2 linked regions of the Drosophila melanogaster genome follow. The protein of the gene in region 2 interacts with the protein of the main gene of each other region in a pairwise test. Each region holds a gene or a part of one and is shown on either strand. Other genes may lie near its edges.

What was found. The genes of interacting proteins can lie anywhere in the genome.
Region 1: the proteins of Obp18a (region 2) and Lrp4 interact in a two-hybrid assay, tested with the Drosophila melanogaster proteins (one large-scale study listed by BioGRID).

Annotation. Positions count from the first base shown.
Region 1 is NC_004354.4:15,907,333-15,916,119, forward strand, and holds the start of Lrp4 (LDL receptor related protein 4), read left to right. Parts: upstream 1-3,537; 5' UTR 3,538-3,656; intron 3,657-4,034; exon of another isoform or gene 4,035-4,322; intron 4,323-4,575; 5' UTR 4,576-4,739; coding exon 4,740-4,791; intron 4,792-5,446; coding exon 5,447-6,762; intron 6,763-6,823; coding exon 6,824-6,945; intron 6,946-7,017; coding exon 7,018-7,209; intron 7,210-7,273; coding exon 7,274-8,739; intron 8,740-8,787. Other genes in the region: CycD (cyclin D), read right to left, coding at 1-259, 322-467, 527-701, 765-986, 1,205-1,777.
Region 2 is NC_004354.4:19,133,162-19,140,252, forward strand, and holds Obp18a (Odorant-binding protein 18a), read right to left. Parts: upstream 2,708-7,091; 5' UTR 2,683-2,707; coding exon 2,632-2,682; intron 2,578-2,631; coding exon 2,242-2,577; 3' UTR 1,920-2,241; downstream 1-1,919.

The DNA of each region.
Region 1 (8,787 bases), 3.2 Mb from region 2:
TGTGCGTCCGATGTGGCGCTGCGGACCCAAAGTTGTGCTGCTGCTGGTGTTGCTCCACGCACTCGGCAGGAGCTTTCGGTAGCGGCAAGGGTCTAATTGAGATTTGCGAGAGATGCTGCGATTGATGTATTTGGAAGCGCCTCTTGTAGTATAATGTTGACATTTCTTTTGGGTCAATATTCACTAGAAATGGCTCTAGATTCCGACTGTGCTCCTTAAAGATGTCCTCCATGTGCAGCATACAATCTCGCACCTGAGCCTGTGCATTTAAAATCAATTGAGTGGTGGTACATAACAACACTGCTCCCTTGCCATACTCACTTGCTCCACGCTGGTTAGATCGGTCATCAGACTCAAAAGGAAGTGTAGATTGTGTCCCGATCGCAGATGCCACTTTAGGCCATTCATTGACGCAGCTATGCTCGATGCAGCTATGGTGCTGGCCGAGAACTTGGCAAACTTATGTTCTTCAAAGGAAGGGGTGGGAAGTCAGTACTTAAGTTGGACTGTTTTGTATATGGCTTACCTTTTGCTGCCAACGATATAAATGCCTGAGCATGTCCCCGCACTTTGCCAATGTTTATGTCCGGAAAGTTTTTGCTGCCTATCGGCAGGCGCATCATCAGAAGCTCAAGGAAGTCCAAGGGAGTCACAGATGAGAGGTCCCAGCCCAAGCGACTTAGCACATACAGCTCCCATTTCTTGGGAATGAAATGAAACCGCATGTTCACCGAAAGGTATTGTATTACGAGAAAGGTACTTACAATCAAATCATCCTTGTAGATGCTGTTGTCCGTGTAAACAACGAGTAGATCCACCGAAAGAGCACGACAGCTGGGTTCACGGAGCTTTGAAGCCAGTAAGAGGCAAGCTGCGGCCAAAATTTGTAGCTGGGTCTTGCGTACTGATTTGCTCGAAAGAAATCGATCCATGTAATTTAATGCCAGTAATACGACCTCTTCCTGGCAATTTTCCTCGGCACACACCTGTGAACATGTATTCAATTAATGAACGAAAAGGGTAGTCAAAATATTGTAATGGGTGTGCGATAAGGACTACTAAAACAAACACTAATTAATGAAGTTCTTGGAAACTTCCATCTATTTGGTAATATTTTCTAACAGATTATAAATAATGCGTATATCACAGTCGGCTAGCTTGATATGATTTGGATGCTGTATCTACATTTCGTTTAATTACTCACTTCCATCATCCATTCGGCGACAATTTTGCGCATCGGTGGCGTAATATCCTTCTGGATGCTAAAGTACGTGTCGGGAATTTTGTGGTGCTTCTCCTCGACCTTGAGGAAATTCTCCAGACACCGATCCGAATACAATGTGGGATCCCCGATGGCAGTGTTCACGTTGTCGGTTGCGGGTGGATCGGCTGTTGTGGTCAGGCGTTCGTCGAGTCGTTGGCAATGTGACGTCGGTGGCTCCTGGCTGATGTAACGCGGATAACTTTGGATTGATTGGGTCGCTGTCGGTGGTGGTGGCGGCGGTGGTGGAGGTGGCGGAGGCGGCTCCAATTGTTCTGGATTTTTCGCAGCCGAGTCCACGGACGCGTATATATACACCAGCTCCTTCATATTGCACACTACGGCATTGTTCTGGGCATCCGGATGGGAATCGGATTCCGCGTCCCCCAAGGATGAACATATCGATGATTGATCCCGAATGATCGCCGGTGAGGACATTTGCTGCTGTCGTTTGTTCAAACGATACAATGATGGATCTGATTCGTAGACTATGATTTCCGAGCATAAAAGATCCATTATATCGGCCATACGTTCCGTTTAAAGCTATGGATTCTATGGATCGCCGCACTCTCAAGCCATTTATGTGTGCCGATTTATCAGGAACTTTGGGTAACTCCGATATGGGAACACTGCGTACAATAGGAAATGATCGTACATAAGTACATACATACATATGTATGTTGCAACCTTCTTTTCACATTTAATTCAAGTATTTGCTCAAGTATGGGCACACTGCGGGCATATGTGTTTAGTCCTGTGGGAGCACTAGAGTATAGCATATAACCCTAATACCTTGACTTATTCATATGCACATTACATTATTTACATATTTTTTCGACCTGCTCAGAAATAACTCGTTCATTTCACACTATGTACTTATGTACATGTACATGCATGGCTATGTACGATCAGCTCGAGAACAAAAGTTTTCACTTACGCCTATTCTCGGAATTCTGGTTATATACAAACGGCACAGCACTTCATGGAGTAATGTAAATTAACTATTAAAAAAGTATACTCGAAGTTGCACACGTTTGCCACTTAACCGGCGTGGACAAAGCATTTATGTGAACCAGATAGTTACACCTTATGGCAGAAAAAAACTAGTTCAGCATGCCGTCATCGGAGTTATATCTCTTGCTCACTGCGATCAGTAAAACATATCGATCTTCATCGGTTATTAGTATAGTACTATCCTTTGCAATGAAAGGCAAGCGAAATACGTTGAAAAGGGGAACCTCCTCATTGCGTTTCCAACTTGTTGCTTGTGAAATATGTTTCACTTAGGGTTGTTATTAGAACATTAAAAACTTATAATCCATCAATGGGTTTGATGGACTATAAAAGGGTCTTACCCTTATAATAAAAACAAAGTTCTTCTAATTGCACTACTTTTTTTCTTAAATAAGCTTTTTGTTATACGATCTTACGAACTTACTCTTGATGTGAATTTCACATCACTCAAGTGTTCCAATTACTCCAGCAAAATCAAAAATACTAAAATATGCTAGGGCGTTGCCACCCTGCATTCATGTAAGGATGGTACTGACAGTCGATCTTTCGGCATGTCATACATTTAACGATCGTGGTCCACGACAAAATGGTCAGTAATGCAAAACTCACTGGCATCACCCTACTAGGTTGAATCGTGATCAAAACACCCTTATTAAATTCCGTTTAAATGGCCGGAACCTGTTGATTAAATGGCAGGTTGTTCGAAAGAGTCGTAAATAAATGAATGCTGCACTTAAAGATCCTGTACCGCTTACAAAAAGCATTGAACTGCTGTTATTTTCTTTAGGGTTGTACTTAAACAGTTTTAGATGACAAACAGTAAGACATGTAAGAAACCTAAAATAATTTCACTAAAAAAATTCTAAAAGCAATTGTAAAAAAAAGATATAATCTTTGCTGCTTTGTTTAATAATTAATAAGATATTGATAAAAGGGTAAAAAGCTTTCGCGACTTAGGAATGCCAGGTTAATGATAAACAAAAGTAACCTGTGGATCCCTTCCGAGAAATGATGTACCGATATATGTACACATCGAGATTAAAATGGACTTCCATGTCCATTGTCCTAATTTCGGTGCTGCAGTTTTTTGTTGTTTTTTAGGAAAAACTGCAGCGTGGAGAATGCTTTCAATGATACAATCCTTAATTGGGTTCGCATTTTGCTAACTTAGTTGTTGCAAATTAATTTACCCTCACTCTCGGCACACAGACAAAAGCTCGCTTCCCAGAAAAAGCTTAAGGATTCAGAGAAAACTTTGAAACAGCACACGAGAGTTGAGTGGAACACTCGCGTCCGCCGACTTCGCTTTCCGTCAGAGGGATGCTGTAATCCCCTGAAATTTTATATTCGTTATATTCCCGAAGAAGACAAGAGACGTGCTGTACGAAAATAATTTTTCATTCACGTAAATTACCCACACAAATGTGTGTGGAACAATTAGCTGATTCAATTGTTCTCGCCCGCCACTTGCTAATTGGAATCGAAAAGTGTCAAAGTTTCAGGAGGTTCTTTTTGTTTAATAATACTGTGTTTAATATGCATATGTTCGCGTGTGTGGTGCTCATGACATACATACATAAATGCCAACAAAGTCCCAAATATCGCATTCATTTGCGAGGGGACTTCGCAGGACGTTATAAACACCTTTATACCACATTCTGGAAATGCCAAACGCAGTGCCAAGCCCACGCAACTTTATAATAGGATATACATTGAATGAAGTAGTGCCATGAATGCCGTGCCGCATGATATTTGATCCATTCACGGAGTCGGTCCTGGACCTACAAAGTCACAATAAACCTTCTGTTTAGTGAGACAGCGTAATGTGAAAAATGTTGAGGACGTACAAGCCAGGCATTTAAATTTATTAACTTACAATAAACATTTATGTAAATCATAAAAAACCCAGTGACACAATAAGTAAATAACAAAGACCAGAAGTAACCAAGTGCTTACAAATAAGATGAATAGAGTAAAATCTATTGAGTGACACCTACGCAAAGAACGAGTGTGCTTAAGTGTAACATATACACAACATATACATCAGGTGGGCGGGTTTTGCGCATAGTAACCCCCCTCCCCCAAGCCCAAAACTTTGCATTAACTTTATATTGTCCAAAACCTAGAGACAAAAAATCATTGAGTGAATTTCATTATTTTAAAAGTTACGCCCCGCCCCCCCTCAAAAAAAGAAATATATATATAAAACTCTAGATCCGCCTTGGTAGCAAAATATGTTATACGCAAGCGCTCAATACGAAAACCTCCTTCTCTCTACCTTCCTCTCTTTCTCTTAACAGAATCGGAACAGCAGTTAGCAGAAAGCAACAGCACAGCAGCAGCAGCAGCAGCAGCAGCATCCGCTTAGCAGAGCAGCAAATGCTTCGGAAGCAAAAGCAGTAAAGCTCGCAGCGCTACTACGTTACGTGCCTATGAGTGGGCGAGTTTGTGTACATGTCTGGACATGTATTTGACAGCCTTTCCCTTTTGGCCATTGGTATGCTTCGTGTGGCTCTGTAAGTATTGTCCTCGCAACACAGTTTGTCCTGGGGGGAGATGAAGGGTATCTCTCTGTTAACGCCCACGATGCGCTCAGACCAACAGCACTTTTTGCTCAATGAAAACTTGCACACGAAAACTAGCCAATTGAGAAAATTCCCTGCTCAAGAGGGCTTAATTGTAATACGAATTTCCAGGAACATGCAATCTATAATATGTATGTGCAAGGCATCAAAGAACATGCATCGAATTGAATGAAACTTTTTTATTTAAGGATATTGCTTGCATACAAAACGTGTCCATGACTATGTACATATGTATGTATGTACATATGTATGCATGTTTTTGTAAAGCTGTTTTTGAACTATTGGAAAACCTTTTAACTCAAGACATGACCTTTGTATGTATCAAATCAGAAGCATTGCATTCAATGCTCCTTTCCTATGAAAAGTGTTGTATTTTCCAAGAACATTGCAGTGGCGTGGGAACAATAGCAAAACGTGCCTTTTGCTATCTGCTTTGAATGAGAAATAGGGGGGTTTTCCTTTAACTACTTGTAGTTAACATTCAATTCAACTTAACACGACTGAACTTGTATGATAAGGCAAAAGCCTTTGCTGCATTTTGAGCTAATTAGAAGTTAAATGGTATCGATTTAAATCCTTTGACTAGGTCTCGGTCTCGGCGACTTGACAAAAACTGCTGTGAAACGTAACGCGCCCCACTATGGAATTCACCCGACAAACGCACTGGGTCGTTGGGATTGGAATAAGCACAAGCAGCTGCACTCGGATGCCAGAATCGGACATTTAGAGGCGGGCAACGAGTCGCGGGAGGATCAGCTGTCGGAGGAGCTGAGCAAGTTCGGCGAGAAACTCTTTCCCGTCTCCAACTATCCGCCGTATCAGCAGAATAACGAGGATAGCCAGGAGGTGCATCATAGTGGAGAGGGAAGATTGCATACGATGGAATCGTCTGTGCCATCCAAGACTAGAATATCCGGTGGCACAAATTCAAACGATACTCCCAAGTTCCGGAACATTGGCGCCCAGAGGGGTAGAACCGAAATAGCCGGCATTCGCGAAACTGATCGAATCAGTTCACGTGGTCGAGATGGTTTTATAGGTGGTCCGAGTAACAAACAGAAGCCATTTAGAGTCAATCTGGCCGTTCTGGTGCAGGACGATCCCAGTCAACCGGGTGAGACATACTCCAATTGCCAGAACTCCAATGAATCCGACGAGAACTGCAATCCCGAGGAGGATGCAGTGCCGAATTTGCAAAGGGATTGCGAGAAGACCGGGATACATGTGATGTGCCCGCGAACCTTTCGATGCATTAGCAAGTATTGGCTCTGCGATGGAGATGATGACTGCGGTGACTACTCGGATGAGACGCACTGCGGAGCCAGGACGAATTGTACAGATGATCAGTTCGAGTGTCTCAACGGATTCTGTATTCCACGAACCTGGGTATGCGATGGCGAGAACGATTGCAAGGACTTCTCCGACGAGACCCACTGCAATCGCACCACCTGCACGGATGAGCACTTCACCTGCAACGATGGCTATTGCATCTCCCTGGCCTTTCGTTGCGATGGTGAGCACGATTGCAATGACAACTCGGATGAGCTCAAGTGCGCGGCGGTCATAAACAGCTGTCCGGAGGGCGAGTTCAAGTGCCGCGGCGGTTTGGGTGGAGCAGGTGGTCCCAGTGGCCAGTGCATTCTCAATCGTTTCCGCTGCGATGGCGACAACGACTGCGGCGACTGGAGTGACGAGGAGAATTGCCCCCAGAAGCCATCACTATGTACCTCGAATGAATACAAGTGTGCCGATGGCACCTGTATTCCCAAACGTTGGAAGTGTGACAAGGAGCAGGATTGCGACGGCGGAGAAGACGAGAACGACTGCGGTAGTCTCGGCTCGGAGCATCCCCTGACCTGCGGATCCGATGAGTTTACCTGCAACAATGGGCGCTGCATTTTGGTATGACCACTGGAGTCTCCTTAACTTCTTTACCTCATTGAGTTTTCTGTTGTCAAATCAGAAAACTTGGCTCTGCGATGGCTATCCAGACTGCGCTGCTGGAGAGGATGAGGTTGAGTGCCACCTACAATGCGACCTGGGACAATTTTTATGCCCAACCAAACAAAACCTAACAAATCTTAAGTAAGTTGAATTGCTCATGATGTCCTCATATCACAAGCAATCCAATTACCAATTCCCGATTGTATTTTTCAGGATATGTGTCCATCAGAAGCACATTTGCGATGGCCACAACGAATGCCCCGCCGGCGAGGACGAGGCCGACTGTCCCAAGGAACGAAAGTGCTCGGAACCGAGTCCTTGCGAGCAACTCTGCATTGAAACCACTGCAGGATCGAACGAGTGTGCCTGTCGACTTGGATATGTCATGGACAAAAACAAAGTCAAGTAAGTAGACGATTTGTTTACCGGGTATTTCGTATGATATTAAAGTGATGCCACGATTGTTTAGCTGCACGGATATAGATGAATGCCAGTACCTGACCAGTCCGGTTTGCTCGCAAAAATGTCACAACACTATGGGTTCCTTTAAGTGCTCCTGCGAAACGGGCTACATACTTCGTCCAGATCTCAGATCCTGTAAAGCGCTGGGTGGTGCGATGACCCTGCTGGTGGCCAACCGATGGGACATACGACGGGTGACGTTGAGTAATAACCGATACTCGGCGATTGTTAAGGGACTTCACAATGCGATCGCATTGGACTTCCACCATCGCAAGGGCCTGATGTTTTGGTCCGACGTGTCCACCGATGTCATCAAGATGGTGTATATGAATGGAACGCGAGTTCGAGACGTCATCAAATGGGGTCTGGAGTCGCCGGGTGGCATTGCAGTCGATTGGATACACGACCTGCTATTTTGGACGGATTCGGGCACGAGACGTGTGGAGGTTTCCAATTTCCAGGGAAACCTGCGCACCGTCATCGCATCCTACGATCTGGACAAGCCACGTGCCATTGTGGTGCATCCGGGCGAGGCGTTGGCCTTCTGGAGTGACTGGGGACCGAATCCGAAGATAGAGCGCGCTTACATGGATGGAACACAGCGAAAAGTAATCATATCAAAGGGTGTAACCTGGCCAAATGGCCTGGCAATTGACTTCCCCAACAGCAAGATCTACTGGGCTGATGCCAAACAGCATGCCATCGAATGCTCCAATTTGGATGGCAGTGATCGAAACAAGATCCTTAGCACCCATTTACCACACCCATTTGCTCTCACTCTCTTCGAGGACACCATGTACTGGACGGACTGGAATACGAAAACTGTGTCGGCGGCGGACAAGATAACAGGGAAGGAATTCAGAGCGGTTCATGAGAATTTCCATTTCCCAATGGACATCCATGCCTATCATCCGGCTCGACAGCCGGAATATGCTGATCGTTGCCAAAAGGATCGGCGGGGTCTGCGCGGTGGGTGTTCCCATCTCTGTTTGCCGAACAAGACATCACGACGATGCGGATGTCCCATTGGACTTTCGCTGAAGGAGGACGGCAAGACGTGTAAGAGTACGGCCGATAAACTGGTGTTGGTGGCGCGACGAAAGGACATTCGCTTGCGTCATCTGAGGGACAATCAAGCGGATCCCAACGATGTTGATATGATTGTACCATTGGATAATCTGAAACATGCCGTTGCCCTGGATTGGTGCAGCGACACGGACTTCATCTATTGGACAGACGTGGAGCGCAGCACCATCAATAAGGCGCATCTCAATGGAAGCTACCAACAGCGAGTGGTGCACTCGAATCTTGTTTCCCCCGTGGGTCTGGCCCTGGACTGGATAACCGATAAGCTCTATTGGACAGATCCGTCGACGAATCGCATTGAGGTCGCAACTACGAATGGAAAGATGCGAACCTTGCTCATATGGGAGAAGCTGTACAAGCCACGGGATATTGTTGTAAACCCGATTGGTTAGTTGAACCACGTATAATTTATTTATCTATGTCATGTTTTGGTGT
Region 2 (7,091 bases):
TGTCAAACGGGCTCAGCATTGTCACATCCTTAGCCGCTGCTGACGATGATGATGCTGCTGCTCTGCCAGCTCAGCGTCCTGTCATTCCAGATCTCACCCATTGCCGCCACCCCCATCCGCATCCACATCGGCTCCGCTCGCTCTTCAATGCCCAATCCTCAATCCCCATCTAAGTCGCACGGTTCGCTCTTGTCCTTCATCTCAAGCTGCCAGTTATTACACATTGCCAGCGTCTTAATGTCGGGATTCTCGGACGGGGACTTCAAGCAGCATTTTCTGGTGATGAGCCAGTTGGAGCCGGGCAGCTCGACCCGAGTCCTGCGCCCAAAACTCGCCAACAGGTGGCGGGCCTGGCTCAAGTGGATCTGTGGGAAGCGATGGGCTAGGGGATGCCTTTTGTTTAAGCGAGATGAGATGTCCTTTGGGCTCTGGCACACAAGTCAAATGCTCTTTTAATCTATGCACTTACTTGCATCAAAGTACTTTGAAAATTGCTGACCTTAAATTGCATTTAAGTGAATTTAAATTAGCCTAATATCTTTTCGGCCCACTAAGACTATCGAAAATTGATTGCGATTAAAGCTAATATTTAAAAAAGCTGTAGAAAACACAGCGAACACGAATCCAAGTTGTTAACTGTTTGTCCTTTGATTTAGCCAGAAGAATTAAAATCGGCAGGCTTCTTGTGGATTTCTTGAGAGTATTGAAGCTTCGGTCCAGGAGATGTGAGTCCACTTAGGCTGGCTGCAATTGGCAGCAGTGGGCAACATTTTATAAGTTAAGGCACGTTCCAGTGGTTAGGTTCACTCAACGGCCTGGTCTGGCCAGGACTGCAGGACGAGAGGGTCCTGTGGTCAGGAGTGAACTGCAGTCGACTGTCGCCGCAATGAGAACGCAAAGTTTATTTGCTGAGCCCGGACTAAAAAAGCCAAAACCATGACCATGACCATAACCGAACCGAATCCGAATCCGAATCCGAATCCGCAACCCCGTTTTCTCTGCGATGCGGCAAGTCAGGAATTGAATTATGGAGAAGAGAATGCAAAGGACGCTTTCTGCGGGGCTAATTCGATTAGACAGCTACAAATGCTGATTCAATTTGCATTGTCAATTAAATCGCTATCCTGGTTGCACTGCCGCCCATAATTGCATTACAGCATATTTGCCTGTCATCAACATGTTTTGCCCACAAATTTTCCACTGACTTCAGCACTTTGCGCAACGCCCCCTTTTTCCTTTTCCGACTGGTCAAAATAACTCCTAATTTGGGTGGGCCGTTGCTTATTGCCAACATATAAGCAGTATTGCCAGTAACCCGTAACCAGTAACCAGTGACTCGGCGGCTTTCTTGATGATTGGCTAGCAAAAAGTTTTTGTGGCAGCCGCAATGTCGCCCAAGGAGTTCGTGTGCCATGTCCTGCGTCCTGCGTCCTGCGTCTTTCGTCCTGTGTACTATGTACTGTGTCCTTTGCACTCGACTGCGCTGAGTCGAGTTAATGAAAGGCCAAGTCAAATGCCTCACTGATTGCATTGACATCCTTCTGGCCCTTTTTGGCCCTCTTGGCCCAAAATGTATTTGGCCAAACTTTACGTATGATTTGCTGGGAAAATTGAAATTTGCCCTGCATCCTGTGGGGTCGACTGGGATTCATTATTACGTCCACACATCCGCCCCATCAAGTCGGTTCTGCAGTTCACAGTCTGCGATTTGCATTTCAATTATGTTCAAATTGCATCTTCCATATCTGCCATTTCAAATATTATTCAAGCAGGGGGAAAATTTTGTGTTTGGCTTCCCAGTCCACCCATATATGTACATATGTACATGCATACATACATATTTGGTCAGCAAACTGAAATTTTCTGTTATTTATTTGGCCATGTTTCTTGCGAATTTTCGGAAAATAAAGACTCTGATTGACTTATTATTGCATTATGTATTTCCACCAGTTCTACGTTACTTTGCATAAAACAAATCAATAAAAAGCAGACGAGTTTAAAACAATGCATGTCTACTATTTTGCTCTAATACAATTATTAATCACTGTATACAAATAATAATAATGAAAATCACACTTATACTAAGCACAATCGTGTGTAATTTCCATTAGAGGGCGTTTGATCTGATTAGAAGACTCAACAATGAACTGTGATGAAGCCCATTGTGTCTGTCATGTGTGTGTACATATATGTATGTAGTAATGTATATATGTATACTTTATTTTTTGTTTATTTGGTAAATTACGAGGCGATAGTTCCACTCTGCTTGCCCTTAAAATAACACTGGAGAATCAGGTATGGATAGTCGCACGTGTCCAGATTGGTGACGCCATCGAACTGCTGCTTACACTGGGACAAAATCACGTGGTCCTCTTGAGATCCTCGCTTTCCCACCTTCTGCAGATCGATTTTCCCATCATCACCGAAATAATCCTGGATCAGACACCGGCTATAGCACTTAACGGCCACTGGAACATCCGCAACGGGAGTGGATGGAGCCACTGCCTGCACTTGGGCACTGGTCAGATTGTGGTGCTTTAGGCAACCCTCTGCGTTAACGCGGCCAGCTGATTGCCACTAGAATAGATGGTATTGTTAGATGGACACATAACTATTTCGTTAAGAACTGACCATAGTTATCAAGCAAATCCATAGTACAGCTATGCTGCACACAACCTTCATGGCGAAAATCTGTTTCCCAACTAACAATGAGCGCATCATCACAGCTCTATATATATAACCCATCGATTTGCTAATTCAGCTCAAAAGTAGACAGGAGATTTTAATTAAATAATTGGATGCTACTTTACATTCGCCACACACCAACAAATAAAGTCTATAATTGAAATTTTAAGCGCAGTTCCCGATTATGAGCTACACGTATGTCGTATGCGCAATATCTGCATTACAATTGCCAATAGTAAATTACCAACTTGGTTTTCTTCATATTTATTAAGATAGAAAACATACAATTTTTGGCTTTTACACTCCAAGCATCTCTGAAGTTTAAACAAAAAACATATGTGTAGCCTATCTACTGTATTGGACTTTATTCGTATATTTTATATGGTTCATTAATATAGGTATAAATACAAATTATATTCACGCTTTGCGATTTGCAGCGAATATCACATCTTATACACGATGTAAAAAAAAAAAAAATATTTCGTCATGTTTTTAGGTTGGCCGCAGGCAGTGCTCACTGTACCGCCACAATGTTTATCGTTTTGCATTTTTTTTTTCTTTGTTTTCTTGCGGTTTCCCCTAATTATCTTTAGTATAAACTTAGTCTACTGTCTTTTTTGGTAAGTATTTTCGTGATGGGCTCGTCTATGCGAATTCCCATTTCCAATGAATAAATAAAGTAATTAGAACATTAAAATTAGCAATAAAACACGTACATTTAAAGCTGACAACAAAAAAAAAAAGTATTCTTATGTTAAACTGTAGTATGTGCCTATGCAATATTAAGAACAATTAAATAAAATAGCATATTAACTTATGGCAGCACTTTGTTGCTATGTTTATGTTTATGTTTATGCACGCAGTTAGGCCAGGGCGGATGTAACATGATCACCCACTCGAAGGCAAAAAGTATAAGTGCATGGTCAGCATTCACACGCCGACCAAATACATATTACATACGTACATACATATCTCGCTCTCCCGATAAGCCTAGATATATAAGATATACATAAGAACGCCGCTCCGCTGCTGGCGTACCCGGCAGCGCAGCTACGCGGATTAGCCTAAGTCCAAATATATTAAAAACTGTAAAATCAGAGAGACTCTGTAGACGTTGAGCTGACAGAACCATTTCTGCCTACTCTAAAATCAAAAGAAGAAATTGAATAAATATATGTCAGCCCGACGGCTGCCTTCAACTTAAAACGGACTTGTGTTCTGAATTGGAGTTCATCATTACATGGCGACCGTGACAGTCGTCCAACGCTGGACGAATTGACCAAAGCTGGTGAAAACAAAGGAACAAAGGAACACTGGACTGGAAGAAGACTGGACTAATTAAATGGAACTGCAAAAACCAAGGAAAAATCTGAGTGAGTAGAGTTCTATTGAGTATGGGCAAACACCGTGGCGGTTTGAAAACTAAGCTGAATAAACGTATAGCCCACGTAAGGTGGCTAATATACGGTCAGCAAACGCCACCGGTTTGGTCGAAAGCTCTAAAGCTACATGCAGAGCTAGACCACTTGTTGCAATATCAGCAAGAATTAAAGACCCATAAGCTCGAGAAAACTCACTCAGATAATATTAAAAATATACCCACAATTAATGAAGTTCCAAAATACCAGGCATGTCCAGCACCAGCACCAGCATTAACAAAACCAAAGAAGTCCTGCCCCCCTGGCTGCGAAGGAATCTGGAGTCCCCACTGCCTGGGGACTTGTGAGCGACCATCGACGTCTTCAGCGGCGAAGAAATAGACAGCAGCGAGGGAGTGTCAGCGTGCCACCCCCGGCGACGCCCAGCTGACACCTGATGAGCATCATCAACAGCAGAATATAATAATAAATATATATAAATATAAAGTAAATATAAAATATATATAGATAAGAAAAATTGTAAGAAATATTGTAAAACGGAGCATATACTATTATGCCCTGTTAACCCAATATGGCCCGTGAAGCCATAGCTAGAATCAGGCAGGCAACAATGTAAAATACAATTTTTTTTTACTCTTGCGAACATTGAAAGATTTTATAAATAGATAATTCCAAACATAAATGTCTATAGAGACAAATGAAATAAGTAAAACTGAAAATAAAAGTATATACAAAGGAAATTTTCTATTCTATTCTCCAAAATATAAAATTAGTATACCCAAAATGGGTCTAATAGACACTAAAACTGTGGACTCTACAGCCAATGTAATAAATAAAGTAGAAGTCCAAAATGCAGACTTGTTCTGGATAACCATAATACTAATTGTAATTGCATTAATTATGGTATCCAATGCATTAATAAAAATATACAAACTGCATAACAAGTGTCTTAAGAAACGATACCGTAGCACTGCTAACGGTATAGATAATATTTAAGGAAGATCTTTAATAAAGTCAATTATGAATGAAAATATGAGAAAAATTATATGAAAAAAAAAAAATAATAAATAAAAAAAAAAATATAAAACGTAATATTGAATTTATCTACGTTAAAAAAAAAAATATATACAAATGAATAAATTTGAAGTTATGAGTATACCACAGCATGGACTGGGAAAAGCTTGTTGATCAGATAAAAGATCAAAATGAAAATTTCAGAAAATCCTATAAGTGCTTAACGCAAAACAGATCAACACAAGCTGTAACAATCAATAGGAATGCCCAAGTCTTGGTAAATAGTTATAATGAAATCAGAGAGTTGATCCAACAAAATAGAAAGAATTTGGAACGCAAACAGTGTGCTAAGGCTTTGAACCTACTGGTGACATTAAGAGAAAAATTAATATTTATAAAAAATAAATTCAGTCTCCAGATAGAAATTCCAACCATAGTAAACACCCCACTAAGAATAAATTTGAATGAAGACAGCACTAACTCTGACGAGGAAGATAGGACTATAGTCAAGGAAGACATTAAAGAGGAAGATCTTCACGATCTAACTATACCAGCAAAATTAATGCTGAAGAACGACGATAAAACAAATAACGCAGCCGACTCCGAAAATAACTTAACCATGGCAGAAGAAGCAGCTGCCATTAGGTCTTACATTAGGGAAGTCGCCTGCACAGTGCCAGAATTTGATGGGCAAAAGATCCATTTACAAAGATTCATTAAGGCAATCAAATTGGTAGACCTAGCTAAGGGACCATTTGAAGACATTGCAGTTGAGGTCATTAAGTCAAAAATAGTTGGCACAATTTTGAACTCAGTTGACAATGAAACGACAATTCCAGCAATTATAAACAAATTGCAGAAAGTAGTTGTCGGTGAGACATCCAGTAATGTCAAAGCAAAGCTAGCAACAGTTCAGCAGAGAGGTAAAACTGCAACGCAATTTACCGCTGAAGTTGATAGCCTGAGAAAACTTTTAGAAGCTTCCTATATCGATGAGGGTATACCTCTAGAACATGCCACTGGTCTAAGCACCAAAGAGGCAATTGAAACCATGATACATCGTGCTGAGCACGAAAGTATCAAAACAGTACTGGAAGCAGGGACTTGCACCACTATGGATGCAGCGATAAGCGCATACATAAGAACGAGTACAAGAGTTACCGGTGACATCAATAAAGTGATGTACTTTAGAGGTAACAGACCCAATAGAGGATACGGAAATGCCAATAGAGGTAGTAACCGCGGTAGAGGCTTTAATAACAATAGTATTAGAGGCAACTACCATAACGGTTACCAAAATAACGGTTACCAAAATAACGGTTACCAGAATAACGGTTATCAAAACCGCTATAATGGAAATAATAACCGTTATAATGGCTATAACAGAGGCCGTTATAATGGAAACAGAGGCCGTAACAACAGTCAGAACAACTACAACAGAAACAATGCCAATGTACGAGTAATCCAAGAACAGGGAAACTCGCAACAGCCTTTAGGTACTCAGTAGAAGAAGATCGTAGAGTATACACCATCAATTATAATCTCAACATATTTTCTACATTCATTCATGCCAAAACAGGCGTAAAACTAGTTTTTCTACTTGATACAGGTGCAGATATCTCTATTCTCAAAGAGAACTCTGACAAATTTTCTAATATTCAAATAACCAATAAAATAAACATTCAAGGCATAGGCCAACAGAAAATTCAGTCTCGAGGACAGACTTTTATTGAGATACAGACAGGTAAATACGTTATCCCACACGATTTTCATTTAGTAGATAAAAACTTTCCAATACCGTGTGATGGAATAATCGGAATAGATTTCATAAAAAAATATAATTGCCAAATCGATTTAAACCAAGAAGAAGATTGGTTTATAATTAGACCAAACAATTTGAAATTTCCAATATATATTCCCATAGCATACAGCTCTGGTATTAACACAACGTTATTACCAGCAAGATCCCAAGTTGTCCGAAGATTAATAGTATCATCAAAAGATGATAACATT